7 linked regions of the Mus musculus genome follow. The protein of the gene in region 6 purifies or fractionates together with the protein of the main gene of each other region. This does not show direct contact. Links are inferred from orthologs where the notes say so. Each region holds a gene or a part of one and is shown on either strand. Other genes may lie near its edges. The genes, in order: Mogs, Bsg, Hsp90b1, Ppt1, Atp2a2, Canx and Wwox.

Region 1 (4,298 bases), on a different chromosome or scaffold from region 6:
TAGGGTGGATCGTGCTCAGTGTTACGCTGTTTATAAAAGAGGCTAGAGGCTGAAAGAGAGCGCAACCCAAAAGGGCTCCAGAGATGGCGACTATCAGCTAGAACGTCTAGCAGGGGTCCTAAGCGGGGTGAGCTGGGGTCCAGCAGCTGTAGTAGCAAAGGAAAAAGAGAGACATAGCCCAGGGCATCCACATACTGTAATCGAGGTGGAGGCCTGCCTACCACCCTAACCAGCCCCTGTGGGGGCCTCGACTTGAGCTGTACTGCTTTTGTGTGGTTCCCAAAGTCAGCAAAGACCCCCAGCTCAGGAGCCCAGTGCAGCTCATCAAGACTTCCAGGTTCTTCTAGAGAGGCAGCCAATGGGCCCAGCTCTGCAGCAGCTTCAGTCTCCCCAAGCTGTTCTGCAAGCTGGGACAGCACCCGGGCACCCAGTGCCACCCAGCAGCGCAGGTCCAGGTGCCGCTCTGCTGTGGAAGGATGCGAGGCCCTAGGGTAGTCATCCAGGCCTGAGGGCAGCGTCTTGGGGTTAAGTAGGGTAGGCAAAGCTAGGTCCCTGCCCCGCCAGCGGTAGGATAGTGGCACTGGCCCTGCCTGACTTTGATGGAGCCAAGAGAACCAGGCATGCAGGCGGGGGAAAGCCTTGCGGAGAAAGGCCAAATCATCAGGGTCATGGCCTTCTAGCATGTGTACGACTGGCAGGAGCAGGGTTGGGGGGTTGGCATGGGCTGCCCGTTGCACTAGGAATTCTGGGGGCACTCGGGCTCTGGCCTCATCCCCCAGAATCTGCTCTCGCCCAATCCAGCCGTCAGCATTGAGCAGCCCCAGCCAGTGTCCTAGGGCCTCCCGGGTGAGGTGGGGATCCCATCGCTGGACCACTAGCTGGTGAAAGCCTTCATCCCAGAGGAAGCCTCGTGGGAAGAATGACCTAGAAGGCACCCCAGAGAAAAGAGGGACAGGTGGAAACAGGGCAGGGTCCATTTTCTGTTCAGACCCTTCCATGCTAGTGTCTGGCAACACTAAACCCTGTCCATAGAAGTAACCAATCCCACCAAGAAGGCCACTGAGGGCAACCTGACCCAAAGCCTGTTCCTCGGGACTCAAGCCCTTCTCCTTTAGCTGGAAGGTCTTCTCAAACCGTTCCTTGAAGGCTGCAGCATGGCTCTCCAGGGCCTGGGTCAGTTGGCTGCCTACCAGCCGCCCAGAGGCTTGGTTTCCTCCTGTTGCCGCACTGCCAGATTCAAACACAAACTCCACAGAGAAAGGGGCTTTCAGTGTCACCTGCTGGATCAAGAATTGCCCTTGCCCACTAGGGCCTCTCTCCTCCCACTTCAGAGATCCAGGCAAGCCGAGGTAGCGGTCAGGAGAGGCTCCTGGGGGCCGGTGCTGAAACCAGCTGTTTAGGCGGCTCTTTACCATATCTGTGAGCTGTGGCAGCCCCGGGTTGGAGGACCAGAAGACATTGTAGCTTGAAGGCAAGAAGACAAATAAGGAGTGTTATTCATGAAAGGGATGCCTCTCCAGTCCCACTGGTGGGAAGGGGAGGAGGGAGTCATAGAAACCAGGCTAAGTCAATCTCCCAAGCACCCCTGTACCACCCTGCACCAATCCTCCAGTTACCTGCCATGCTTAGGGACAGTGTCTCCTGGACTGGTTGGCGGCAGAAGTGTGAGGCGGAAGTCACCAAGTTCACTGGTGTGCCCACTGATGGACTTCAACTGTCCTTTGGCTCCGATCTCTGGTAGTAGGACCTCTTGCCCATCTGTCACCACGTAGAAGAACAGGGACACCAAAGGGAAGGAAGGTGTACCTGAGGCCTGGGTGACCAAGGAACACACAAAAGCATCAGAAAAACATCTTTTTGAGACCCAGTCTCAGCAGGGATTACAAGAACTGTGGCAAACATACATCTGCCAAGACTGAGGGTAGGTAGATCCACCCAGTGGGCTGAGCCAAAGGGCCCTGAACAGGATTCCTCCTGGAAATGACAGAGGCTTTAGAATTATACGTAGATTGTTTCAGTCAATCTTTTAAGTTAGGCGTCACTGTGATATCTACTTTACAAACAAGGAGATGGCAGACATGGTCAGCCAGGCTGGTGTCCCGGCTGTCAACCTCCATTTCATACTGCATTTGCTGCTGAAAGGGAAGGGTGGGGAAGTCTGGGCTGTGCAAAGACGATCCTGATGCCCTGACCTGAGGCTCTACGGTCACTCTCCAGCTCCAATCCCCTCCGTGCTGACCCCCAGGCCTCTTGACGAACTCAGTGGTGAGCCTTAAGGCCCCATCGTGGATATGCTGCCGACCGAAGGTGCGGCCATCGTGGAACTCCCAGCCATAGGGACCCACGCCGTCTCCCTGTTCACACGTGTGCCTGAGCTTAGGAGGGGTCCCCGGGGTGGCGCCTTGCTGTGCCCACATCAGTCCTGGGAAGCAGAATGGCCACGTCAGTCAACAGAGGCTGTCTTAAGTCTTCGAAGACTGCTGGGTCCTCCCCACTCACCCGCCCCAGGGTTACCTGTGAGCAGTGGTTTGGGGCTGCGAGTCTTCATGCCGAAATAGACGTGTGGGCGGTAGGTGCCCCAGAAGAGTTCCGGGGCCACGGCAGGACTGGAGGAGTCCGGCGGCAGCGCAGACGGCGCGGGGTGCAGTGTGAGCGCGCGGCGCACACGGAGCCACGCCAGCACCCAGCGCCCCGACAGGCCGAAGGCCAGCGCCAACACCACCACGGCCAGGGCCGCGCCGCTCGCCGAGCCCCGCGCCCCACCAGCCCTGCCATCCCGCCGGCCCGCCGCCCGCGCCCTCTCCAGCGGCCGCGCCCCCTCTGCGGCCGCAGCGCGCCGTCGCCTCTCGCCCCGGGCCATGCGGGCAGCCTGCACGCTCCCCGGCTGCCACCGTGCGGTCAGCGGACCGAGCCTTCGCCGCGCGCCTCCCCGAGCGCCCCGCCCCACCGGAAATCCCGCTTTCACGTCAGGTCCGGCCCCGAAGCCCGGAAGCGCTGTGGCTGGTTGACTCGGTACGGAGACCAGGACTCGATGGGTGAGAAGCGTCAGTGGTTTGGAGTTCAAGGGCTGGGAGAGAAGCAATGGCATTCTGAGCCTCTTCTCTTTTGTCTTGCTTAACTACTGATTATGGCCTGGAGAGATGGCTCGACGGTAACGGCGCTGGCTCGCGAGGCTGACGACCTAAGTTATATCCCCTTACCCAGGTCGTGGCAGAAAGAAATCAGACTTACGCAAGTTGTCCTCTGATCCTCACATCAGGGCTACAAATATGCATACAGCCTCGAACTTCCACGCGTATGCTGTGGCATGAGCGCACTTCACCTCCACACGTTTACACACACACACACACACACACTCGCAAGCACAAATAAAATGATTGATAAATAAATAAATAAATAAATAAATGCCAGACGTGGTGGCTCTCAGCTTTAATCCTAGTACTCAGGAGGCAGAGGCAGGATGATCTCTGTGAATTTGAGGCCGCCCTGGGATACACAGTGAGACCATGTCTTTAAAAAAAAAAGTACGAGTAAGGAAGAAAGCGGGAGATATGATTTAATGGTTAACGTATTTGCTGCTCTTGCAGAGGATAGTTCAGTTCCCAGCACCAACATGGCATCTTACAAATACGTCCGGAGGATCTGATGGCCTCTTTGGGTCCTACACACTTGTCCATATGATCACACTAATGCCAGTTTCCCGTTTGGGGGATATGTTTGTTTAGGTTTTCCTCCAACTTGCTATGTAAAATTATGTTGGTTAAGACAGTCTTGCTTTGTATATAGCCCAGGTTGTCCCAAAGCTTGATAGTGATAGACAGCCTCCTGCCTCAGCCTCCAGAGTGTCAGGAGCTAGGGACTGTTAAGCTATGTTTACGTATCACTATCCAGCTCTAATCTGGAAGCAGAAAACGGTGGCCTAGGAAATATAAGTACCTGGGTCCAAGCCACAGAGCTGGGAGGGACTAGCTTAAAACCCAAGTGTGTATGAATTAAGCTATTTCACTATTCATACTCTGTACTTCCGTTCCTCCTGGAGTGGACTCACAAGGAAGCCCAGGTAGGGTCTGTTTCTTTAAGCAGTTCTATAACTTCAGACAAGTCTGTCTCTAACAGCCTATAATTTTATTGATTGATTTTTAAATTTAAGACAAAGTCTATATCCCTGACTGGCTTGGAACTTGCTGTGTAGCCAAATCTGACTTTGAACTTTTGATCCTCCAGCTTCTACCTTCCCAGTGCTGGGTTACAAGCACACAAGTGATTGGTGTACTCAGTGCTAGCCCAGCACTCTGCCA
Region 2 (4,398 bases), on a different chromosome or scaffold from region 6:
TCTCACCATGTCATCTAGAAGCCTGAGGAATTATTAGGGTTAAATTAGATCTGGGTAAGCGCTGGGGTAACACCCTGCAGTGAGTGTCTGAGTTGGCCTAGCCAGGGAGGCCAGCCTAGTCACTCACTCAGAGCAAGCATGCGAAATCAGGGTGTGAAGTGCTTGGAGCAGCCTGAAGAGACCCTAATATCAAATTCAGCCTCATAATCAGGAAACCTTAAGTGTCCATGCCACAGGGTAGCCCTCTGAGCAGAGCCCCTCCCCCACTGCATAGTGGGAAACACATCACTGGTTGACCTGGGCCCTGCCCAGGCTGTAGGCTATGGGTCTGTTCCCAGGAAAGGTTAGGACCTGCCCGTAAGCTACACTCTGTGCTTGGCTCCCGGGCATTGCAAAGGTCTGTTTAACCCCAGGCAGAAAGCCACTGGGCCTGTGCCCAGCCAGGCTTCCTACCCAGGACAGAATAAATCAACTGCCTCCATCTCACCAGGGGACAGCTATCTGCACCAAGAGCCAGCCTCATGGAGGCACCTCAAGATGTTTTGATGGTGAAGAAGAGGGCCTGGAAAAAGTGGGTCAGAATTAACGCCGGGCACTGCTGCCAGGGACAGCCCCTCCTGTACCTGCTGATGGGGGCAGCAGTCACATGGCCCACTTCTCCAGTGGAGCTCTGGCTCTGCCCTTTGCCTGCTGTCTGGAGAGGGCAGGAGAGCAGTCCCCATGTGTTCGAGGCCTACCACATGTTCAACCTTGCCATGACCCTGAATCCCTGCCTTCCTACCTCAGCTGCCCTTTTGAGCCTTCATCAGGCAAGGATCTAAGGCCAGAATGGGCCAGACTCCAGGGTGGGAGCAAGCTGAGTGTGCAGAGCCCTGGCCACCAGAAATCCCACCAGGAATGATAATCCAGCAAGTGCCTGAGCCTGGGGTCCGGAGCCATTCGCAGGCACTGGCTCCCAGGGAACTCCTAGACCAGCCTGAAGCTCTGCCTCAGCCCAGAGGGGCAGGGACAGGTGGCCATTACAGGGATACAGCCCCTGTGGACTATGGAGAACCTGCAAGCTCACCCCAAGGAGGACAGGGACAGCTGGGGACAGCTGATAAGGACTCCTCCAAACCTAGGGGCGGGAACTGCCTCTCAGGAACTCCTCACCCAACCCTCACATGTGAGGGCGAGTCCACTCATCCCCAGCCCTCCAAGCCTACCCATCCCTGGGCACCTCTTTACCCCAAGAACCCACGGGGTCACCTCTCACCCCCTTTCCAATCCACATCCTCCAGAGACCTGAGGACATTACTAATAGGCAATGCTATCCCCCACCAACTTCATCCTCTTCTTTCACATTCCCCAAGCAATGCTGTGCTCCTTCACTAAGTAGAAACAGCAATGCAGCAGCTTCCTCCACTGAGACCTTCCAATCCTTTCTCCATCCCCCTCACATCACCAAACATCAAGGACCTCCCCCAAATTCCTAGTCACCTCACTTCCACCCATATGCCCAAACTTGTGGACCTCTCCCCAGGCACTTCTGTACCCCAAACCCTCTGAATCATCTCCCTGCCTGGTCCCCCAAGTATGGACACCCTGAAATGGTAGCTCCTCCTACTCTAGTCCCCCTAGTGACCCCAAACCTTGGAGACAGCCTTTGTAGGAAAGTCTATTTCGCATCCTCCCCTTGCCCAGATGGTAACACTAAAGTAACAGACCTCTCTAACTCCATGCCCTCCTAAATTAGGGACTGTGACCCTCACTCTGTTCCCTGAGTGGGGACACCAAGACTGCAGTTCCTTCGACTCCCAGGTCTTCCAAATTTGGGATCTCCCCAAGGTGGCAGCTTCTTTAGTCCCCAGATCTCTCCAATCCTGGAGGAAGCCACCTGCAACACTGCTGTCCCTCACCCCAGGTCCCACAAACCTCTCTCAGATGTCCTGCCAGATGTCCCTCTGGCCCATGGTTACTTTCCAGCCCTGTCTCTCAGGTGTGGAACCCTCAACGTGCTGACTTCTTTTATCTTCACTCTCCCAGGCCCCAACACCAGGAGGAGGTAAATTACTAGGGTTCCGTTCCAGCCCTGGTACGCAGGTGGAGACACCAAGATGGTCCAGACAGCTCCCTGGCCACGGACGCCCTCACTCACGTTGGAGATGTTGCCCCAGAGCCTTACTGTCTTCCAGCGTCAGGGTCACCTCTTCCCACACCTTCCCTAACTCCCCAAAACCTAAGCCAATTATAGTCATTGTTGTATCCCCAAACCTTCAGGGTCACGTCCCAGCCCTATTCCGGGAGCTGGGACAGTTAGGGAAGCGGCTCCTTCCATCTCCAGCTGACCAAAATCTGGGGTCATCCCATTCACTTCTGTAATCCAAATCCATCCAAATTACCTTCCAGCCCATGTCCTGGTGGGGACCACCACAAGGTGGCGGCTCCTTCCACCTCCGGTTCCCACAACCTTAGGACGTCTCCCCCAGAGTCCTAACCTTTGATTTGTCTCTCCAGGGCCTCATCTCTAAGATCACTCCCCTCCACCTCGATGCCCAGTCGAGGCTAGGTTCAACTCGAGGGTCACCCACAGCCACTGTTACTCCTCCACAATCTCCAAGCCTCGAGCCCGAGTAGGGAACCACCGAGTCCCCGAAATCGGAGGCTCACCTTAAGTCCGTGACCCCAGCCCGGTCCCAGCACCCCGCTCTTACCCGCCGCGCAGGCGCCTTGGCCGCTCAAGAGCGTGAAGGCCAGCGCCAGCAGCAGCGCCGCCGCCATGTCGCCTCGTCCAGGAGCTGCCCCACTGCGGCTCTATAAGAAGGGCGGGGCGCGCGCACGCAGGCACGCACGTACGCACGCACGCGGCGTCGCAGGGCGGGGCGCCAGGCACACAGGGAGTAGGCACGTACCCAGCGTCCGCCGCTCCCGCTCGCGCTACAGGAGCGGAGCGGGTGGAGAAGCGTTGGCACGTGACCACACAGGCCACACCCTCGAGGGGGTGGGGCCTGGAGCCTGGACTGCCCTTGAGCTCGCGCGCGCGCGCTCTCGCCTCGCTCGTGCTCTCCCTCTCTCCCCCCCTCCCTTACCCCCAATCTTTCCCCTCCCCTCTCCTTTCTCCCCTATCCCCGCTCTTCTCTACCCCCTCTCTCTCCTCTGTCTCTTTTTGAGACAGGGTTTCTCTGTGTAGCCCTGGCTGTCTTGAAACTTACTCTGTAGACCAAGCTGACCTCGAACTCAAACATCCACCTGCCTCTGCCTTTGGATGGAGTGCTGGGGTAAATGCCTGACCCACGATGCTCGGCTGTCCTTTTCAAAAACAAACAAACAAACAAACAAACAAACAAACAAACAAACCAAAACAAAAAAACCCTTACATTTCAGCCTGTTGGTGGTGGCACATGCCTTTTATATCCCAGCACTCGGGAGACACAAAGCAGGTGGACAGCCTAATCTATAGAGTGTGTACCACCAGGACAGCCAGAGCTGCAAGAGAAACCCTGTATCAAAAAACCAAAACCGAATAAAACCAAACCAATCAAAAACAAATTATATTTGAAGGTCGTGCACTGTGGCGCAGGCTTCTAACCCCAACATCGGGAGGCAGAGGCGAGGCAGGCATCTGAGTTTTGAGGACAGCTTGGGCTCTAGCTACGTAGCCAGTTCTAGACTAAGTTGTAAGGTCCTATCTCAAAAATGTATTTATTTGTGCTCGCTTCGGCAGCACATATACTAAAATTGGAACGATACAGAGAAGATTAGCATGGCCCCTGCGCAAGGATGACACGAAAATTCGTGAAGCCTTTAATATTAAAAAAAAAAAAAAAAAAAAAAAGGGGCTGGTGAGATGGCTCAGTGGGTAAGAGCACCCAACTGCTCTTCCAAAGGTCTGGAGTTCAAATCCCAGCAACCACATGGTGGCTCACAACCATCCGTAACGAGATCTGATGCCCTCTTCTGGTGTGTCTGAAGACAGCTACAGTGTACTTACATATAATAAATAAATAAATCTTTAAAAAAAAAAAGTATTTATTTGGGTGCTAGAGAGATGACTCAGTGACTAAGAGCACCGACTGCTCTTCCAGAGGTCCTGAGTTCAGTTCCCAGCAACCACATGGTGGCTCACAGCCATCTGTAATGGGATCTGACGCCCATTACAGATGAGGTTCTGGTGTGTCTGAAGAGAGCAACAGTGTACTCACATAAATAAAATAATTTGTGTGTGTGTGTGTGTGTGTGAGTGTGTGTGTGTGTGTGTGTGTGTGTGTGTGTGTGTGTGTGTTTTCCAGACAGAGTTTCTCTGTGTAGCCCTGGCTGTCCTAGAACTCACTCTGTAGACCAGGCTGGCCTCCAACTCAGAAATCTGCTTGCCTCTGCCTCTCAAGTGCTGAGTTTAAAGGTGTGCACCACCCTGCCTGG
Region 3 (2,876 bases), on a different chromosome or scaffold from region 6:
ATACACACCCATGCTCATTAGCATCTTCCAAGGCCAGATATACCACACATCCATCTAGGGCTTAGGGCACTGCTGAGAGTCATCGAAACAGTTTGATGCTCCCAAAGGCCAGAACTACAGTGTCAATGCAGTAAGTGCTGAATGGTCAGTAACTTTCCTGACACTGACAGTTGGGTTTTAAATGGCGTTACAATGTTAGATAGAAAATATACAGCAGTTTTCTTTACGTAGAACCTAAGTCTTAGAAAGCCAGGCATGGTTTGCCACGCCTTTAACCCCAGCAGTAGGGAAAGGCAGAGATAAGAGGTAGATGGGTCTCCGTAAGTTCTAGGCCAGCCTGGTCTACAGGGTTCTAGGAAAGCCAGAACTCTGCAGAAACCCTGTCTCAAAACAACCCAAAACAAAACCAAACCCCTAGTGAGTCGTGATGTAAATATGGACATTATTCGTAATTACTCTAAAGCAAACTAAGGAAGCTCAGGATGATTCATGTAGCAGATCAAGAGAATAAGAGCTGGCATCTTGGTAGGGACATCCCGTTTCTTACTTTGTAGAGATGTCCTTGCCCGTCTGGTATGCTTGTGCCTTCATGATCCTCTCCATGTTGCCAGACCATCCATACTGACTGGCCACAAGAGCACAGGGAGACTCTGTGAGGCGCTGCGACACCACAGCCTTTTCTATCTTAGAATGAGAAACGTTAGACAGAAGTAAGGATCAGCAGTAAGCAGTGCTAGTCACCATCATAGAGAACAGACAGAAGGACTCAGGAATCCTGGAGGGACACTCAGTCAATCTGGATTTTCTTTCAACTACAAATTTATCTTTAAACCTGTAAAAACTTAGTACAACATCAGTATATAGCAACAGGAAGCTTCTTGGCAGGGATGGGTGCCAGGGTCTTCAGCACAGCAAATGAGTCTGTCACTGAGCTACGTCTCCAGGTCCCTGCTGTTACACCCGAGGTTACAGGTGAGGCACATGCCACTGTCTACAATCGCTAGTGGTAATGAACAAACTGAGTATGGATTAGCATGCTGATAATTCCTATGTGCAGACACTGAAGTCTGCAAACCCCAAATACCTTGTCCTTGAGGGCCTTATCTTTCATCCAGTTGAGCAGAGGTTCAAACTCCTTCTCTGTTGCTTCCCGACTTTCTTTAGTTTTCTCACTCTCATCAAACTTCACCCCTTCTTTGGCAACATTCTGAAACCTCTTCCCATCAAACTCGGGAAGAGCCTGAATGCAGTATTCATCCACAGGCTCTGTGAGATAAATGACTTCATAGCCCTTCTTCAGAAGTCTCTCAACAAATGGAGAAGATTCCGCCTACAAGATTAAAAGAAGTATGTGTTTTCAAGTTCTGCCTTGGCACATTAGCTGTGTGAGACAAAGACTAAAGGTAGTGTCCTCTGGTGTCTGCCTAACTATCCCAGCTACACAATTAACTTATTTCCTCTCCCACATTGGCTGTATGCCTCCAGCTCCCAGGGACCCTAGCAGCTGCACTTCATCTTACCTCCTTTCTGCTTGACCCAGCCATGAAGTAGATTTTGTCCTGTTTTTCCTTCATTCTTTCCACATACTGGTCTAAACTAGTAATGTCAGTTGAATGGTGAGAAGACTGGAACCTAAGAAGTTTAGCAAGCCGTGTTCGATTTGAGTGGTCTTCAATCACACCAAGCTTGATATTCGTGCCGAACTCCTTCCAGAAAGTGTCGTTATACTTCTCATCAGCAATCTTCTTGATCATGTCCAGAGTTTTTCGGACAAGCTTCTTCCTAATCACCTAAAGAAAATGGAATCTGGTTAGGAAGGTTTATCTCAAACCTTTGCTTCTGAGACCAGGATAGCAGCAACTGAGACAGCACAACTGCCACACCACTCAGCAAGGGACAGGAAGCACCAGGGCACTCCCACATCAGACTGTGTTAGAATTAACGACAACTGTTTCTAATATATTCCAATGCTAGAACTCAGATATGTTGACAGAATGACTAATATTTTCAAATGTTTAAAAACAAAACCCCACCTAGTCTTCTAATCACTACAATACTGGCAAAAAGGGGGCTTATTGAAAGGCCTAGTATGTGGGTGACTGTGGACCAGACAACTGGTAGGTGTGTTCCCTGGCTTCAGCTCTGTTCAAAACGGTATTCCTTACTATGTTGGGGGAATGTATCAGCTCTGAGACCCAATAATCTCAGAATAAAAGAAGTTCCTTTTTGAGATAGTCCTAAGTTAGGGTAGCCTAAAACTGCTAATAAACCCTCACTTAACTATGACCTCATTCCTTCAAGCTATTAAGATTATAGGCATGCACTGATGTGTCCAGCAGAATTTCTTTGAATAGTTCAAGACTAGCCCAGCCCTCCTGCACTTGCTTCAACATCTAGTTGCTAGAACTGCTTTCTTTCTGACTGTGCTTGCGCAAACTCACAAACACAGTGTGGTTCAAACCCAGGGTCATAAGCACAGCAAATAAATTTGACACCGAGTTACATCTCTATAGTTTCCTACTCTGTTACTCCTGGGTAACACCACTCTCTAAAATTGCTAGTAGTTACAAAGAAAGCAGGTGTAGAGTAGCTTACTGATAATTCTGACTCCAACCATCGGGCAGAAAGCCTGACTAGAAATTCTCACCTTGAGCAATTTATGTTGCTGAAGAGTCTCACGGGAAACATTGAGGGGGAGATCATCGGAATCCACCTGCAGACAGCAAAATGCTCACTGAGCAATAAAAACAAGTCTGTACCAAAAAATACAAGACTGTTGCTCCACTCCCAGCCACTCTGACAGCCACGCGTACAATCTTCAGATACTTACAACACCTTTGACAAAATTAAGGTATTTGGGCATCATATCATGGAAG
Region 4 (3,824 bases), on a different chromosome or scaffold from region 6:
GCATGCTTCGCAGATCCTTCCTGGTTGGCATCTGTTCTTGACGTGTAACACGAATGCACGGCAGTATGCATTTTCTTCTGTCCTTGACACAGTACTCAGCAAGCTTTCAGTCTGGAAGCTCATGTAGGGTATGGTTTAGGTGTCTTTTTTATTACTACTTTTTTTTTTTTTTTTTTCCAAGACAGGATCTCTGTAGCCCCGGCTGTCCTGAAACTTGTTATGGAGAGCAGGGTGGCCTCAAACTCAGAGATCCAGCTGCCTCTGCCTCCAAAGTGCTAGGATTAAATAAAGGAAGGTTGCCACCCCGCTGAGAATTCTCCCTTAGTCACTTCCTGCCTGGGACATAGCGTTAGCTCTAAATCTGGGTCGTCCAGTTAAATCGCTGAGAGAGTAGATTGTGTCTCCTGGCAGGGTCCAGGGTGGAAAAAGGTAGTGACCTGGATGCTCGAGTCAGGGAACTGGGGACTCAGACTGTTCCTGCCTCAGGTTTCCAAAAGGCCCTAGTTTGGACCTGCCCACTTACCGTACATCCCCCAGTCTCCAGGCTTTCCTGGGGCTCTAGAGCATGGTTTTCTGCAATGAGCCTTCTATGGAGGGAGGTAAAACCTTTTGGCTGAGCCACATGGTTCTTACAGCCCAGCCGGCCTTCTGTTTGTATTTTTTCAAAAACATGCTGAGATCTTGTGCTGGCTCTGCGCTACTCTCTTGTTCTCTGTGCCTCCTTCAAGTCCTTTTATTTTTTTAAATTTAGTTTTAATTAATTTAATTTTTTTTTTTTTTTGGACAGGGTTTCTCTGTGTAGCCCTGGCTGTCCTGGAACTCAACTCATTCTGTAGACCAGGCTGGCCTCAAACTCACAGAGATCTGCCTGCCTCTGTCCCTATGTCTACCACTACATCGAGCCAATTTTTTTTTTTTTTTAAGATTTGTTCATTAGTTTATTTTTTATTTTTTCAAATTAGTTTTAATTGTGCACTGGTGTTTTGACTACATGCTTGTCTGTGTCCCTGAGAGAGCCAGGTCCTATGGAGCTGGAGGTACAGATAGTTGTGAGCTGCTATGTAGGTGCTGGCAATTGAGCCCTGGTCCTCTGGAAGAACAGCCTCTTAACTGCTGAACTCTCTCTCCAGCCCCACATTTATTTATTTTTATTTTTATGTATATGGGTTTTTTACCTGCATGTATGTTTGCGCACCATGTGCAGGCAATGCTCCTGGAGGCCAGAGGATCCCGAGACTAGAGTTATGAACTGTGGTGATACCCCTAGCAGCCGCTCCTGGAGTCAGAGAGCACACATGCTAGCAGGGCACTCCCACAGTCTGCACCTGACAGCTGGCTGCACTCACCGTTCTTGCACAAGTTTGGAGTAAGCACCGGCATTAAGTGACTTCCTGATGAAGTCGCAGATGTGAGAACTCTCTCCTGGGCATCGGGGGAGTCCAAAGACACCTGGGTAGGAAAACGACAGCCATGTATTACTCTAATAATCACATGTTGAGTGCCACTGTAGCAGGCACCGTGAAACAGGAAAAATAAAAACGTCCAAGTACTGCCAGTTTCCCTCTGGCAATCCGCCAGGGACCTCTGCCCCAGCCTCCCATGTGTGGCTGTTACATACAGCACGTGTGGCTGTTGCAGCACATGGTTACCTCATCCTCTTTCTGGGAAACTCATCTGGTTCCGCGTCCCCATTCCTCTCCCCAGTCATACTTTCCTCCGTGCACTTCCCCTTCCTGTGTGAATTACTTTTGACACTAAATGCAGTGCAAATGTTCCATGGGTTGTTACTACAGTGTGTTGTTTAGGGAGAGAGAAAAGAGTCTGTATATTAACAGTACAGATTCAATGGTTTCTTGAATACTTTTCTCTGCCCTCCCTTGCCACCCCTCCCCTTTCTCTTTTTATGAAGATAGGGTAGGGGCTAATAAAGCCCAGGCTGAACTCAAACTCAATCCTCCTATCCCCAACCCCTAAATTCTGGGATTCTAGGCACACACAAATGCCTTTCCCAGAATAGTTCTCAGCTGTAGAGCTTTGAATCCACAGATATGGAGCACCTTGGGTTCAGAAGGCCAAATGTGAGCTCGGGTGCAGCTTTGTGGCAGAGTTCTTGCTTCACACGTGGAGACCCTGGGTTTTATCCCCAACAATATGCGCGAGCGCACACACTGATGATAATTAAAGAAGAGGCAATGAATTTAGGAGGAAGTGGGAGGAGCTAGAGGTTGGAGGGCTGGAAATGATGTGAATATAATACATAAATACAAAATAAAGCTTTTAGAAAATTAAATAAAAAATTGCTGGGCAGTGGCACACACCTTTAATTCCAGCAAGCGGGAGGCAGAGGCAGGTGGATCCCTGTGAATTCAAGGCCAGCCTGGTCTACAGAGTGAGTTCCAGGACAGTCAGGGAGGGCTACCCAGAGAAACTGTGTCTCGAAAAACTAAAGTAAATGCATAAAATAAAAAGAATATTAAAGCCTGCATCCAAGCTTTAATTTCTGTTGTCAATCATGTTGACAATAACATACAGCATGAGAGGAGTTCTAATCCAGTGACGCGCCTTTCCCCTCAAATGGACATTTCTAAGTGGTACCACAAATTAGAACAAAAAGCCTCCACCCTAGTTAATGTTAGTTGTACAGCACAACTGTCAGAGAACAGGAACACTGTTATGTTTCCCTTTTCCCGGTAGTGCTAGCATAGGACCTTGCACATGCTGGACAACCGTATCACCATCAGGCTACACACACAGCCACACAGCTCAACTCAGTTCTGCGTGTCCTCCTAACTATCAACTGTCACTGTCACTGAGACTTTTTTTTTTTTTTAAGATTTATTTATTATATGTAAGTATGTTGTAGCTGTCTTCAGACACTCCAGAAAAGGGTGCCAGATCTCATTATAGATGGTTGTGAGCCACCATGTGGTAGTTGGGATTTGAACTCAGGACCTTCAGAAGAGCAGTCAGTGTTCTTAACCACTGAGCCATCTCTCCAGCCCCTGCGCTCAGACTCTTATCTCTATGAAATCTAATCAACTACGTAGAAGAGATGGCTACTAATGACTTGCCTGTGCTACAGAGCTTTGCAATCCCTACTCCTCCATTGGTGATAGTTACTCTGTCCCATTATGTAGAGATGGGATTTGACAAGGGTGGCTGATGCAGGGTACAAATCCAAGTACCACATCTTTTCTTCTTTTCTCTCTTTCTTTTTTCTTTTTGAGACAGGGTTTCTCTGTGTAGCCCTGGCTGTCCTAGAACTTCATCTGTAGACCAGGCTGACCTCAAACTCACAGAGATCTACTTGCCTCAGCCTCCTGAGTGCTGGGGTTAAAGGCATGAGCCACTACCACCTGGCAATACTGCATTTTTAAAAAGTAGGCAAGACTGTGGAGATCTCTCAATAGTTAGGAGCAGCAACAGCTCTTACAGAAGACCTAAATTCAGTTCTCAGCACACATGCAAGATGGCTCACAATCACCCATGACTCCAGGTCCAGAAAAATGTAATACCTCTGTCCTCCTCATGTGCCCCCCATACATGTGCGTGCACACACACACACACACACACACACACACACACGATGGGTATACATGCCTATGATCTCAACATCTGGCCAGATGAAGCAGAAGAATTGCTTAGAGTTTGAGGGTAGCCTACGCTACCAAACAAGACCTTATCTAAAAAGGAGGAGGAAGAGCAAAGAAAGAAACAAAGGGTAGGAAGGAAAGAATAAAGGAAAGAAGGAAAAATGAAAGAAAACGGAAATACAAAACATCAGAAGGACATGGATTAGGAAAGGGGAAGAGAATCATGGAAAG
Region 5 (3,824 bases), on a different chromosome or scaffold from region 6:
AGTGATGGCAGGCTGTGTCCTGGTAACAAGCAATGCTAACCACAGGCCTGCTGCTGGCCTTGCCCATCCACAAAATACACACTCTAAAAACAAATCCATAGAGAACTTGATAGTTATCAACACACTTCAATATCATCAGGGTTAGCTGGCTGACTTTTTAAAAACATAGTCTGCATGATTAATTGATGAGCCTTGCTTCATGGAACAGCAGCATTTTCTATTTTGAGTCATCTGTATGCATTTGAAAATACTAAAAGAACCCCCAGCCTCAACTAAAAAATAGGAAAGAAAAAGAAAAACGGGTGGGTGTGGTGGTTAGGGTTAGGAGGTAGAAGCAGGCATATTTCTTGAGTTCTAGACAGCCAAGTCTACAGAGCAACTTGCAGGACAGCCTGGGCTACACTGAGAAATAAGGTCTTGGAAGAACAGAACAGGAAAAACAAAACAAAACAAACAAAACAAAAAAACAAAACCAAACTAACAAACAAGTTTTGGTGATTGTTGTTCAAATGTTGTTTTCCATCTCAGTAGTCATTAGGTTGATTTCTGGGATACATCAGAACCCTCATTTTCTAGCTTTCTTTTTCATTTCTCAAAATAATTATTTAGTGCTAATTTTTTATGACCTTTGGTGTTTTGCCTGAATGCATGCATGTGTGAAAATGTCAGATCCCTGGGAAACGAACCTTGGCTGGTCCTCTGAGAGAGCAGTCAGTACTTTTAACCACTGAGCTGTCTCTCCGAGACACACCATTTTAATTTGGCATGCACACCTGCACCTCATGTATGCTTGGTGCATGGAAGGCAGGAGAGGGCACCCTCTGACCGTCTGACAGGAGAAACAGACAGTTCTTAGGTGCCGGGGTGGGGTGAGGAGGGAGTCAAATCCAGGCCCTTAAAACTTCTAACCATGGAGCCATCTCCAGGTCCAAAATCCACAACTGCTGACTTGTCTATTTTGTTACATTTAACAGTTATAAACAAATTAACCACTGGATTCAGCACAAAGTTATAAGTGATCCAAAAGAGGTTTTGATGGACTGATAGGTGGAGGCAAGAGCCTGACTGGAATGGATTTGAGAAAACAGAAATGAAACAAGCTGGGCATGGTGGCGCACGCCTTTAATCCCAGCACTTGGGAGGCAGAGGCAGGCGGATTTGTGAGTTCGAGGCCAGCCGGGTCTACAAAGTGAGTTCCAGGACAGCCAGAAACCCTGTCTGGAAAAACCAACCAACTAACCAAACAAAAAGAAAAAAGTGAGAATGAACACTCAACAGTTTTTTTCACCCGAGTTAAACAAATGGGGTGTCAAATGACAATTAGGGCAAGGGACAGCTCTAATGTTAAAAGCATACAATTATTTTCTTTATGCTACTGGAGAGGCACAGAGAAAGACACTGAGATGCAGGCAGGAGGGCTGGGTATTCTCAGGACTAGGGATAGCTCCCTTGGTAGAGCCCTTATGATACACCTATGTCAAGGTACTAATGATTGCTGGGCTATTTTTGTTTTGTTTTGGTCCGTTTTTTAAAATGTGATTTGGTCGTCTGTCTAATGAGTTCTGTTCTACAATTTGTGGCAATTCTCCTGGTATTTGCATCGTGAGCTCTAGAAATATAGGCATGAGAGACCATCGTACCTGACTGTGACCATCAGGAAACTAATGCCGAAGAACAACAGTTAAACCAACAGTGTAATGAAGAAGAGCAGCATACTGTGCTGAGCTCAATACTGACCGAGTTGCAGGCGTTTGCACGCTCTATTTTAGAAAGCCCCTTCAGCTCAGTATCAAATACATTCATCTTCTCCACCAGGCACGTGAGAGCAGTCTCGGTAGCTTCTCCAACTTTCTCATACACACCCTTTGCCTGCATTGTCAAAAGAAGTCAATGTCAGCAGAATAGCTTGTCCTCCCCGGTTCATGTGAGAAAAGACGGTGTAACCATGAGACACCAAACCCAGATATTAAGATGTTTATTCATTTAAAGTCCTTGACCATTTCAGGTCACTGTTTATTATTCTAATGACCTTTGAAAAAGAAAGCAAATCAATAACCCCACTATTTAACTTGTAAAAGGTTCTCTTGGTTATCACTCTTCACTACACCACCAAAACAACCCTTTCAGCTCCAGACTGTGCTCGAGGATACATGGCAATTGGTGTTTAAAAGTACAGTCCTGGGGCTGGAGACATGGCTCAGCGGTTAAGAGCACTGGCTGCTCTTCCAAAGGTTCTGAGTTCAAATCCCAGCGACCACGTGGTGGCTCACAACCATCTGTAATGGGAGGATCCGTTGCCCTTTTCTGGTGTTGTCTGAAGAGAGTGACAGTGTACTCACATACATAAATAAATCTTAAAAAAAAAAAAAAAGTACAGTCCTCACCCTCACTCTCAGAAAGACTTGTAGCTGGAACTCTGGTCCTTTAAAGGGTGCATCAGTGGTCAGAACATCATGACAACTATGTATCTTAGTAAAACAAGCTGTAGTGCCCAGCTGCAGGTCTGTGAAGGGCACCTGGCCTTTTTTCAGCCAGGCCACGGGACTAGAAATCAGAAATAAAATTCCACTCACCCTACCCTTGAGCCAGCATCAGAACATTACAAGGAGTCTTACCTCATTATAATCCAAAGCAGAGTCATTACACAGAGCACAGATGGTGGCTAACTCTACAAGCCCGTCATACTGATGGCACTTCACTGGCTTATCATCCTTTTGCCTATAAAAAGAGAAAAACATTTCTAGATCACAGCTTTACTCAACTTTAGTTTTAAAACAAACAAACAAACAAACAAACAAACAAACAGAACCTAAACAGAAGCTGTATGCCACAATGCGGCACATATGTACAGAGGAGGTCAGAGGACAAATTGTGGAAGGTCCTCCTCTCCTTCACCACTAAGGGTCGTGAGATGGACTCCCATTGCTGCACACACAGAGAAAGTGCTTTTTACACTCTACCTCCCATTTGTTGAAAACTAGAACTCACTTTCTATTCCAGCATGGCCCTGAACTTCCGTAGGCATGTGACAGCCCCCTGTCCCCAAGGATGAAAATGGAGTTTGGGAAGAACAAATTGGAATAGACTCAAAAAAAATTTGAATGACCAGAAATTTTCATCAAAACCCAACAGTGTACCAGTAAGTGAAGAACAAAACAAAGCCTTCACCAGCAAGTCTAGGCTTCAAAAGGTATTATTAATTAAAAACCACTAACTTGAGCCAGTCAGCCATCTAGCAACAGTTTCTTTTGTGTGAGTCTAAGAGAGAGCACACAAGAGACAGTTTCTCTCGGAGTCCAGGCTGGCTACGATCTTGTGACCTGCCACAGTGTCACTATGCACATCCTGCTGTTTGTTTATTCAGAGCTTCTGGGGATCACAGCAAGGCATATCTTAGGTCCATCACTAAGTCAGACCTCTGTCAACAGCAACAGTTTCTAGACCCATCCCTCATGGTCTAACCAGAAGTCACCATAGTGACAGAGCTTACTCACACTTCTCCAATTGGTGCATATGTGGATCCAGTTATGCTGAACTCATTAAGGGAACAAGTGTCACCTTCTACTTTGTCCAGAATGAACATCTACAAGGAAACACAAAACAAAAGTTTTATGTAAGATATACACAAAAGAATTCCTTGTCTACAGTGAAAAATCCTGTCATTTCAGAAGGTGGTTTGTGCTAGGTGGTAGTGGTGCAGGCCTTTAATCATATCATTCAGGCGGCAGAAGCAGGTAGACCTCTGTGTGAGTTTGAGGCCAGCCTGATTTACAAAGTTCCAGGACATCTAAAGCTACACAGAGAAACCCTGCCTCCAAAAAACA
Region 6 (4,565 bases):
TCTTGGATTTGTTTTCATTAACAGAAACATAGGAGTAATTTGGTGGTGGTGGGTTTTTTGTTTTTGTTTCGTTTTGTTTTGTTTGATACAGGGTTTCTCTGTTGTAGCCCTGGCTGTCCTGGAACTCACTCTGTAGACCAGGGTGGTCTTGAAGTCAGGGATAAATCTGCCTCTGCTTCCCTCATGCTGGGATCAAAGGTGAGCCACCACCACACCACCCAGCTAATAAGTGATTTTTTTTAAAAGAAACTTTTTCCTATTAATTCACTTTAAGATGTGAATACGCAGGATGGAGAGATGGCTCAGTGATTAAGAGTTGAATTCCCAGTTGGGCAGCTTACAACTGTTTGTAATTCCAACTCTAGAGAATATAATGCCCTTTACTGGCCCCCATGAATAATATATTGCATATATATTCACACCAACATACACATATTTTTAAATATATATATATATGTACATAGTACACACACACATATTAAAGATTTATTTCATGTATATGAGTACACTGTCCTCAGACACACCGGAAGAGGGCATCGGCTCTCATTAGAGATGACTGTGAGCCACCATGTGGTTCCTGGGAATTGAACTCAGGACCTCTGGAAGAACAGCCAGTGCCCCCAACCGATGAGATATCTCTCCAGCCCTAAATAAATCTTAAAATGATTTTTTTTAAAGACAAGAATACAATATAAAAATTGTCTAGATTCCTTAAAAAAAAAAAAAAAGAAAAAAGAAAAATTTCAGGGCTGAAGACATAGTTGCTGCTCTTCCAGAGGACCCAGGTTTGATTCCCAGCACCAATATGATGGGTCTCACACACATGGTACACAGACATACATGCAGGCAAAACACACATACACAGAAAATTAAATAAGCCTAAAAATTCTTTCCTAGCATTTGTAGCAATAACAAAGCATTTAACAAGCATTTTCCTAATGAGTTTTACAGTAAGCTATACAGACTACAACTATCTTTGGCACTTTAATTACTTCTTAGGACTTTTTATGAGCTGCCAATACTATTTGTCCATTTCCTTACACTTTCCCAAACAGTTTCTTAGTATCTGCCCTCTCAAAGGCAAAGCAAGTAGCACACTCATCCCCATTTCTTTCTTTCTTTCTTTCTTTCATTCCCATTTTTAAAGGATAGGAATTAAAGTTATCATGCTGGACAGTCTTCTGCAGTTATTCTTAGCAACTGCCACTCTACTCCCTCAAAGTTCTCTTACTGGGCAAGTGACCTCTGCAGGACAAGGATGCAAGGTGTGTTGTCAAGATGCACATGCCTTGTGGCTCTTGAAAGATTAAGGAGTTAATTGCACTGTTGAGTTAAGATAGCAAGGAGGTGACACCCATTCACAGACAGTTCGGTAAACTCCTATTGTGAATGGCTCACTACTATATACAGTTCTTCAGGGCCTGGCTCACCTGTAGTGTACCCCTGCCTGGCCTGTAAGCTTAATTACAGTATAAGTACAACATGAGAATTGATTCTGTTCATGCCCTTTCAAAGGTTACTGGAAAATATACAAAGATTTTTAAGGTAACCCAACTTGTCCCCCTTTAAAGGGGTGGGAGGGCAAATTATTTTTAAAAAACAGGCAGATTCTTCCATTTCTGAAGGGTAAAGAGACTGTAGCTCAACTTTGCCAAGCTTTTAGTATTCAGTTTGGTTTAACTTCACACAACTAGCAATGCAATCACTAGTGTCATGACCAGCAGTTAATACACAAAGTGTCATCAATGTGTCCTCAGGTCTTGGCACACAGGCCTTCAATATAAACATTAGTGTATCAGTGTAATGACCAAGGCATTCGGATTTCAAGAAGCCAGTTCGATTCCTACCCACTGAACCTTTACTACACATCCAATTTCTCATTCCCATTCCCTCGGAATTCAATACAAGGCCCATCAGTCATTCTGTCTACTCCTGGGGACTGAGCCCTAAAGTAGAAAAAAAAAATCTCCCAAATTCCCACTCCCCCGATTAATTGCAGTTAGGTGCTTGAACCAGGACTTTTAACCCAAACGGTCTAGTGCTCAGTTACAATCCCAACTGGATGACTAGAACTACCTGTATGACCTTGGGCCAGTCATTTCAAACTTCTAGGCCTCAGTTTCCTCCCCTCACTAACTGAACTTTCGCTTGTATCTCCTGCTCTTAAGGTCCTGTGAACACCCACACTGGATTACTATCTATCCACCACCGAATAGGCAGGTGCTTTAATAGTTAAGCCTTAAGTTTCTCAAGCGGTACACGTTCTAGTACATTCTACTCCCTCATCAGGATGCTATGGTCCAGTCTTCCCTTTGGGCAAGTTATTTTCTAATCTGTAACGCTTATCTCTGGATTTACTTCACCTTTCCCTGCTATTTGGGCTACCTACTAGGCCGAATTCTAATACCACACCTGTACCGGATTACTCAGCCCACCTCTGGGTGGGCCTGGCCAGGGCCTAAGAAAGCTCTAGAAGCAAAGCCGTAGGAAGTTGTTAGCTTTCTCAGAGGTCAAGGGAAACCCCAGGACACCTGCCACGCCTCCCGACCCCGGCGGCGCTGCCCAGGCTAGCCTCTCTAACCCGGCCGCTCTCCTCACTGCCCTGCGCGTCCGCCCAGGCCTGCGCCATTCGAAAGCCCGCCCGACCCCTCAGTCGTCGAGCCTACAGCCACGCCCGACCCCCTCCGCCACGGCGCCGCTCGCCCAGTCCCCCAAGGCTCGTCCCGGGCCTGAGATCCCCGCACACGCTTCCCGTCTCACCTCGAGCCTCCCGGGGACCACTGGCGGCTCCCTCACCTTCTCCCACCCGCACACCCGGCCCCGTGCTGCAGTGGAGACAGCGGCAGAGGCGGCCCGACCGTCACGTGCCGCAGAACTAAGAGGCCTCGGCTACGGCCGCCGCGCGAGCGAGCCCCACCGCACGAAGCCCAACCCCGCGTCCGCCCCTCGTTCCTGAGTGGCTAAAACGAACGTCAGATCCCGCCCCTTTGCGCAAGATCTAAGAATTTATTGGTAGATACAGCCATCGCTCGAAGCGCCTTCCCATACGCCCCCTAGGGCTATTCTTCGTGGAGCGTGGTGATTGGTCAATAGCGAGGCAGGAAGTGGTTGCTGATTGGGTATGAAGGAGGAAGGCGGGCCGTCACCAAACGGGCGGGCGCGCGCCGCGGAGGGCGGACGGATCTGGCACGCGTTCTCGCGTGGGTCGCCCTAGTCCCTCAGGGCGGGTGTGTTGGACATCCAGAAGACGGCTTTCCGACCCATTGAGTTAGGAACTCTGTCCCAACCCCGCCTGGGACCTATGGCCTTCATCACAAATGGTGAGAGGTCGGGCGGTGTGCTTGCGCAGTGAGTGAAATCCCTCTGGGTAGCAGACACCGCCTTTCCTGCGGAGTCATCGCCCTGAGCTCAGGAGCCTGAGACCTCTTTACCTAACAAAACACTACCTAGATTCACAATCAAGCCACATGGAGTCACTTTCCCATGTGCCCGTGCTGTTTCCTGATTTTAGTCGTTAAAATCAGACATACCTAAGCGACAGAGTTGAGGAAAAGGGTGATGCCATGTGCAGATTTAAAATAGCCTTTTCATAACCCACTCGTTTTTCAATATGCTGATAACGCTGTAAGATTGAAGTGGCTAAGGATTTGGCTAGATCCTTGAGAATCCTGATCGCCTCGGGTTGTATTTGGTGACCCAAAGCTTTGAATAATGTGGAAAGAAACAGCAGGTTTTTCTACATGTGAAACGAGCTTTGTTCCTGCCACCCCAAGAGAAAGGCAGTAAGGATTTGATGTTTGGGTCAATTTAGTAACCGCCAATTCTCTCTCCCTAATTTTAAAGAAGAGAAATTGCTTTCCTTATTTGCCTTATAAAGAGCATGTTCAAAATGAAAATTTGAAGCCAGCTTGGCACAGGCAGTACACATAATTTAAAAAAAAATTCTAAATTTACTTAGGTTGAGTTCTGGCTTGTGTTACCCAAGATGGCCTTGAATTTAAGAAAGCCAAAAAATCGACTTCTGCAGAGAGGTGTTAAAATATGTCAGTACTGAAGGAGTAGAGGAGTTGAGGCAGAACTTTTCTGTCTAAACTGACAAAGACTTGAACTGGACCTCATAGATATGCAAATTTTCTGTAGGTGGAGTTGGAAGGAAGTTCTTGAGATGAGAAAATTGTACAGAAGAGCAAAAAAGTGACTCTCAGGTATTTGGGGGATCCATATACTAAAAATGTTTTGGGAGCAATGGAGATGGCTCAGCAGGTAAGGACACTTGCCACCAAACCTGATGGCCTGAATTTAATTCCCAGAACTCAACGTGGTGAAAGAAGAGATTGAATTGTACTCTGACCTCTATACAAATTCACATACATACATTAATAAATGTGAAATTTTAATAAAAATGAGGACATGATGGCTCTAAACTATACTGTCCACAAAGAGACTGGGAACGTCAGTCTTCTGGTCTGTTCATGGTGTGTCATTATAGAATATTACAAGTTTCTTTTATGTTTCAGTTTATCCAAACAGCTAAACCTTAACAAAGTTAGCAAATACAAAGAGAC
Region 7 (4,388 bases), on a different chromosome or scaffold from region 6:
GCTCGGTTCACATTTAATAGAGTGAAAAAGTACAACTGTACTAGACCATTCTCCTTAAAACGTGGGTAGAAAGCTAGAACCACCTGTCACCAGTGACAGGGCATCCCTCCCGTGAGGGACACAGCCAGGCACTGAAGGAGGCACTCGAAGGTTAAGCTTGATTTCCTTAAATCCACCCTCGGAAAGGAAGTAAACTGTATTACATCATCACCAATGGACGAGACGCCGACAGCGGACGCCAAGGACTGAGAAACAGTGCTAAGTTCAGGTGGTTGGAGCAGCACAGTCTAGGACGTTTTCTAGGGCTGAGACTCCACACACTGAGGTCCACGTAGGAGCACCCAATGCAGGACCATTGGCATGCCTATACCCCAGCACCTCCTGCTCACACAATCCACTCATGTCTCCAGAGCCACTCAGTCCTTCTGAAGACACAAACTCACTATCACTCCCTGGCTTCAGATCATCGGCTGGCTCTAGAGTCCGACAACAAAATCCAAGTCCTTGGTGAAGCACAGAAGGGCCTCTGCAAACTGATTCCTTTCTCACCAGTCTCAGGCTTTACAACTCTATACCACAGAGAGAGGGCTGCCTGGGGTCTCTCCTCCCACTGCCCCCTCCAACCTGCCTGACTTCCTACCACCTGAGGCCACCTTCTACAGCACTCTGAGACACAGGGCAAGTGACACCTCTCCTAGGCGGCCTCCCTCACCCACCCACCCACCTCACGCTGGACACAGTGCACTGGAACTATATCATTAGAAATCACTTGCTGGTATTGCAGAGATCCTTAAGAATGGCAGCTGCACCACACTTAGCTGGACATCACCAATGCCCACCCACCGGCCTGGCCCTTAAGGACTCTTGAATGAATGAACTCACCAAAGCTTTTCTGTTTCTTTCTATCTGGCCACCAGGGGCAGCAGTGAGTAGCTTTGAGTACCTGCAAATCTCATACTTTACAGCCCATCAGTGGGGAGACGCCAGGGCACATTAGTTCCTAATTTGATAACAGGGCAAGAACGTTATCTTTTAAGTCTTTCTGGAACCAGGTAGGGTAGTACAAACCCTGTAATTACATATCTGGGAGGTGGAGGCATCAAGAACTATGTCATCCTGTTTACAAAAGAAAGTCTAGGCAAGCCTGGGCTACAGGAAGCACTGCTAGACAAAACTGTAGCATGTGCCATTAACCCCAGAGGCTGGAAGGTCTCTGTGAGTTTGAAGCCAGTCTGGTCTGTATATAATTTTTTAAGTTAATTATTAAAAACTAAAAATACACTTACAGGTGTTAATACAATAGTTTGTTTTCTGAAAGCCAGGTGATAAGATACTCTCATAGAAAGCTTGAAAAAGATTGAGTCTCCTAGCTTTTAAAGACATAAAGTCAGGTGTGTTGTTCATGCACACTTTGCCCAGGAGAAATGGGAGCTCAACCTCGGCCACCTAACCAAGTTAAGGCCACCCTCGACTATATGAGACCCTGTTTTAAAAATATTTCACAGATATATAAGAAAATAGAAGAGGAAGTATTTGATATGAAGAAAAAAATCAGGAAAAGTACACAATATTCATAAGAAAAAGGAGACCATGAAACTCGGGGGTTGGAGGCAGATAGACATCTTGGAAGGCAGACAGGGAGAGGAACCATGGCTAGGTGACACAGGTGGTGAACTTCCAAGACAGCCAGCTTCTTCCTCACACTCTTTATGTGAGTCGAAAGCCTGGCATCTTAAAACAAAGTCCTTGTGGGCTTTTTCTCCTGCTAGTCAGCTGTTGCTGATGACTGGCTCAGCAAGTTCGAGACCACATCAGGACACGTTACCCAACAGATGTGGGTTGACCAACCCTTATCTTTTCTTCAAACTGACCAACTCTTAAATTAGGGAATGAAAACTCCTCAATGACTTAAAACCAAAGCCCTCAAGAAGAGGCTGCAATTTTTTCGGCTCCAGAGTTCCCTTTGGCTTTGCAGTTGTTTTCTCCATGTGTGTCTGCCCTGTGAACACGAGTCCTCCCCTACAGAGTGCCTTTCAGCCTGCTGACTGTGCCTGCTGCTGTCGGAGGTGTTGGAGACTTCTCCACTGCTACCTGCTACATTGCGAATTTCCCGCTTTTTCATTCTTTGACTGGCAGAGCCTGATCAAGACTGTATGAAAACCTAGCATTTTGTCCATTAAGTATCTATTTCTTAAAAATGAACAGAGGTCCCCAAGCATAGAGTCAGCTGCAGTAGCTCCCCCTATGGGAGCTACTATCCCCTATCACGCCTATGCAATTTTGCCACAGATACAGTCCAAGTAACAGAAAACGCCTGCGGGGCAACCTACTAGCCTCTCCACTGAGTGCCTTGTGCACAGCACAGATTCATTCTTGTGTCTGCTCATTTCAGAGATGAGGAGAACAGAAAAGTCAGGGGCTTGCTTTCAGTGGCCCAAGGTCACGGTTAGCAACAGGGAAAGGCTCTGTGGAGGTTTCCAAGACTTCCCTGGGAAACCACTGCGAGCCATCCAGGACATCTGCTTAAAAATACAGATTGCTGGGCCTCCAGATCAGGTCCCCATGGCAGGAGCTTGGCTTTGAAGTTTTCTCTATTTCCTCTTTAGAGGAGTAAGACCTAGGCGCCACCACCGCACGGTGCAGTGCCACCTAGTGAGCGGCAGGGGGCGTGCGGCGGGTGGCCAGGTGACGGGACCTTGACCCAGATCCCCTAATAACGGGGGACAGCCTGGGACAGGTGGCTGGCATTTCGGATGCGCATGCCCGCCTGGCAGGGCAGCGCAGGGTCCAGGCCTCGCAGGACACGGCTCCCAGGAACGCCGCTCCAAGGCCGCTTACTTGGCGTAGTACACCCAGCCGTCCTTGGTGGTTCTCTCCTCCCAGCCCGGAGGCAGCTCATCCTCACTGTCCGTGTCGTCCAGGCCCGCATAGCGCAGAGCTGCCATGCTGGAGACAGAAGTAGCCGCCTGCTCTCCTCAGCAACTCACTCTGGCTTCAACCGCGCCGCGCGCGTCCGGGAGGGGACCAGACCGCTCGCGCCTGCGCACTGCTCGCCCAGCCGGTCCGCGGCTGTAATCCAGTTTCCGGGTTTTGCAGCTACTGGCGGGAAAGGGGGCGGAGCCTGAGAAGAGCACGGGAGGGAACGCGGAAGAGATGGAACGGCCGTGGGGGGTGGAAGGAAAAGCAGGAACGGCTCAGAAACTGGAATAAGCTTCCTCAGCCTCCTGGAAGGGGCGTGCTTACCCAGTCATCATGCAGGACTCTGCACGTTGCTGGGCGACCCGAAGGCACTTCCTTATTGTTTTACCCAATCCTGAATGAGTCCCAGCAGTGAAGTATCCTGGGAAATGTAGTCCAAGCTCAACTGGACTATAAAGGGGGGGCGGGGAGGGGGGAAAGGTTCTGATGAGATTATTCTGAGCTCCAGTTTCGTCCCATGCCCTGCAGGTGTACAACCTTTTGACACTACGACATGATACTGTGACATGGTCATTTCCAAAATTTACACTAGAGAAGCCCTCAATCGAATATCCAAATAGGAAAAAGAAAAGAAAAATCTCACAATGCTTAAAGTTTAGGATTTTTGTGTTGGGCAGCATTTATTAGTATCCCGGGCCACGTGTTGCCACGAGCCTCAGGTTGGACACACCTGCGAGAGTAAATGTCCTGACTTGATACTATCCAGGTATTTTTCCATTCACAATCTGTGTTGTTTATGTAAATATGCCATTTAAAAAAAAAAAACCTACACTTGGAGAACTAAGTGACTCCAGAATTTGGGAGGGTAAGTCAAAACGATCACAAGTTCACAAGTTCGAGGCCAGCCTATGCTATAAAGGGAGCCAAAAATCGAGAACATGCAAATTCTCATGCCTCCAGATTCTCTATTAAGAGAGAATGGTCTTCCAACCATAACTTGGTTCTCTTGTTCATAGGCGGCACCTGATTACAAACTTGCAAAGCAGACTTTTAAAGCACCTGAAAAAAAAATCCTGGTTATAAATATCCTAGACCCACAATGTGAAGCCTACCTTCACAACAGCACTTAGTCCCTTCCCCTATTTGTTTATCATTTCTGGCTCCTGGAAGTTTAGCTTTGACTTTGATCTAACAAGGATCTATCTGCATGTAAACCCAGGCAAAGAAGATTTTTCAGGAGCTTGAATACGTGTGAGACAAAGCCAACACCCACAAAGTCATACCCTAAGGAGATTTTATGACCATCTTGTTTCTGTAAAAACATCTGCGCCACAGTAGTTATGAAATGAGGATTTTTTAACTATCCAAGCTTGTGCTTCCGAAGCTGCACGCCAGGTGGCGCTATCAGCCTGCAGTTCAAAGCCTTGGTTCCCAGCAAGGAACCTTTGAACCTGTTTTTTGTTTGTTTG

The links.
Region 1: the proteins of Canx (region 6) and Mogs purify together in Homo sapiens (affinity purification with mass spectrometry; 3 studies listed by BioGRID and IntAct, with this or other methods). This does not show direct contact. The link is inferred for Mus musculus from reciprocal best matches to the Homo sapiens genes CANX and MOGS.
Region 2: the proteins of Canx (region 6) and Bsg purify together in Homo sapiens (affinity purification with mass spectrometry; 3 studies listed by BioGRID and IntAct, with this or other methods). This does not show direct contact. The link is inferred for Mus musculus from reciprocal best matches to the Homo sapiens genes CANX and BSG.
Region 3: the proteins of Canx (region 6) and Hsp90b1 purify together in Homo sapiens (affinity purification with mass spectrometry; 4 studies listed by BioGRID and IntAct, with this or other methods). This does not show direct contact. The link is inferred for Mus musculus from reciprocal best matches to the Homo sapiens genes CANX and HSP90B1.
Region 4: the proteins of Canx (region 6) and Ppt1 purify together in Homo sapiens (affinity purification with mass spectrometry; 3 studies listed by BioGRID and IntAct, with this or other methods). This does not show direct contact. The link is inferred for Mus musculus from reciprocal best matches to the Homo sapiens genes CANX and PPT1.
Region 5: the proteins of Canx (region 6) and Atp2a2 purify together in Homo sapiens (co-immunoprecipitation; 3 studies listed by BioGRID and IntAct, with this or other methods). This does not show direct contact. The link is inferred for Mus musculus from reciprocal best matches to the Homo sapiens genes CANX and ATP2A2.
Region 7: the proteins of Canx (region 6) and Wwox purify together in Homo sapiens (affinity purification with mass spectrometry; 3 studies listed by BioGRID and IntAct, with this or other methods). This does not show direct contact. The link is inferred for Mus musculus from reciprocal best matches to the Homo sapiens genes CANX and WWOX.

What each region holds. Positions count from the first base shown.
Region 1 is NC_000072.6:83,114,143-83,118,440, reverse strand, and holds the start of Mogs (mannosyl-oligosaccharide glucosidase), read right to left. Parts: upstream 2,936-4,298; 5' UTR 2,861-2,935; coding exon 2,515-2,860; intron 2,423-2,514; coding exon 2,193-2,422; intron 1,814-2,192; coding exon 1,617-1,813; intron 1,465-1,616; coding exon 1-1,464. UniProt on the Homo sapiens protein: In the context of N-glycan degradation, cleaves the distal alpha 1,2-linked glucose residue from the Glc(3)Man(9)GlcNAc(2) oligosaccharide precursor in a highly specific manner.
Region 2 is NC_000076.6:79,702,880-79,707,277, reverse strand, and holds the start of Bsg (basigin isoform 1 precursor), read right to left. Parts: upstream 2,921-4,398; 5' UTR 2,761-2,920; coding exon 2,694-2,760; intron 1-2,693.
Region 3 is NC_000076.6:86,692,830-86,695,705, forward strand, and holds part of Hsp90b1 (endoplasmin precursor), read right to left. Parts: coding exon 2,831-2,876; intron 2,714-2,830; coding exon 2,648-2,713; intron 1,791-2,647; coding exon 1,521-1,790; intron 1,331-1,520; coding exon 1,085-1,330; intron 685-1,084; coding exon 548-684; intron 1-547.
Region 4 is NC_000070.6:122,846,058-122,849,881, reverse strand, and holds part of Ppt1 (palmitoyl-protein thioesterase 1 precursor), read right to left. Parts: intron 1,450-3,824; coding exon 1,347-1,449; intron 1-1,346. UniProt on the Homo sapiens protein: Has thioesterase activity against fatty acid thioesters with 14 -18 carbons, including palmitoyl-CoA, S-palmitoyl-N-acetylcysteamine, and palmitoylated proteins. In contrast to PPT2, PPT1 can hydrolyze palmitoylated proteins and palmitoylcysteine.
Region 5 is NC_000071.6:122,464,213-122,468,036, forward strand, and holds part of Atp2a2 (sarcoplasmic/endoplasmic reticulum calcium ATPase 2), read right to left. Parts: intron 3,584-3,824; coding exon 3,495-3,583; intron 2,719-3,494; coding exon 2,616-2,718; intron 1,870-2,615; coding exon 1,738-1,869; intron 1-1,737.
Region 6 is NC_000077.6:50,322,733-50,327,297, forward strand, and holds the start of Canx (calnexin precursor), read right to left. Parts: upstream 2,942-4,565; 5' UTR 2,761-2,941; intron 1-2,760. UniProt on the Homo sapiens protein: Calcium-binding protein that interacts with newly synthesized monoglucosylated glycoproteins in the endoplasmic reticulum. It may act in assisting protein assembly and/or in the retention within the ER of unassembled protein subunits.
Region 7 is NC_000074.6:114,438,329-114,442,716, reverse strand, and holds the start of Wwox (WW domain-containing oxidoreductase), read right to left. Parts: upstream 3,066-4,388; 5' UTR 2,946-3,065; coding exon 2,839-2,945; intron 1-2,838. UniProt on the Homo sapiens protein: Putative oxidoreductase. Acts as a tumor suppressor and plays a role in apoptosis. Required for normal bone development. May function synergistically with p53/TP53 to control genotoxic stress-induced cell death.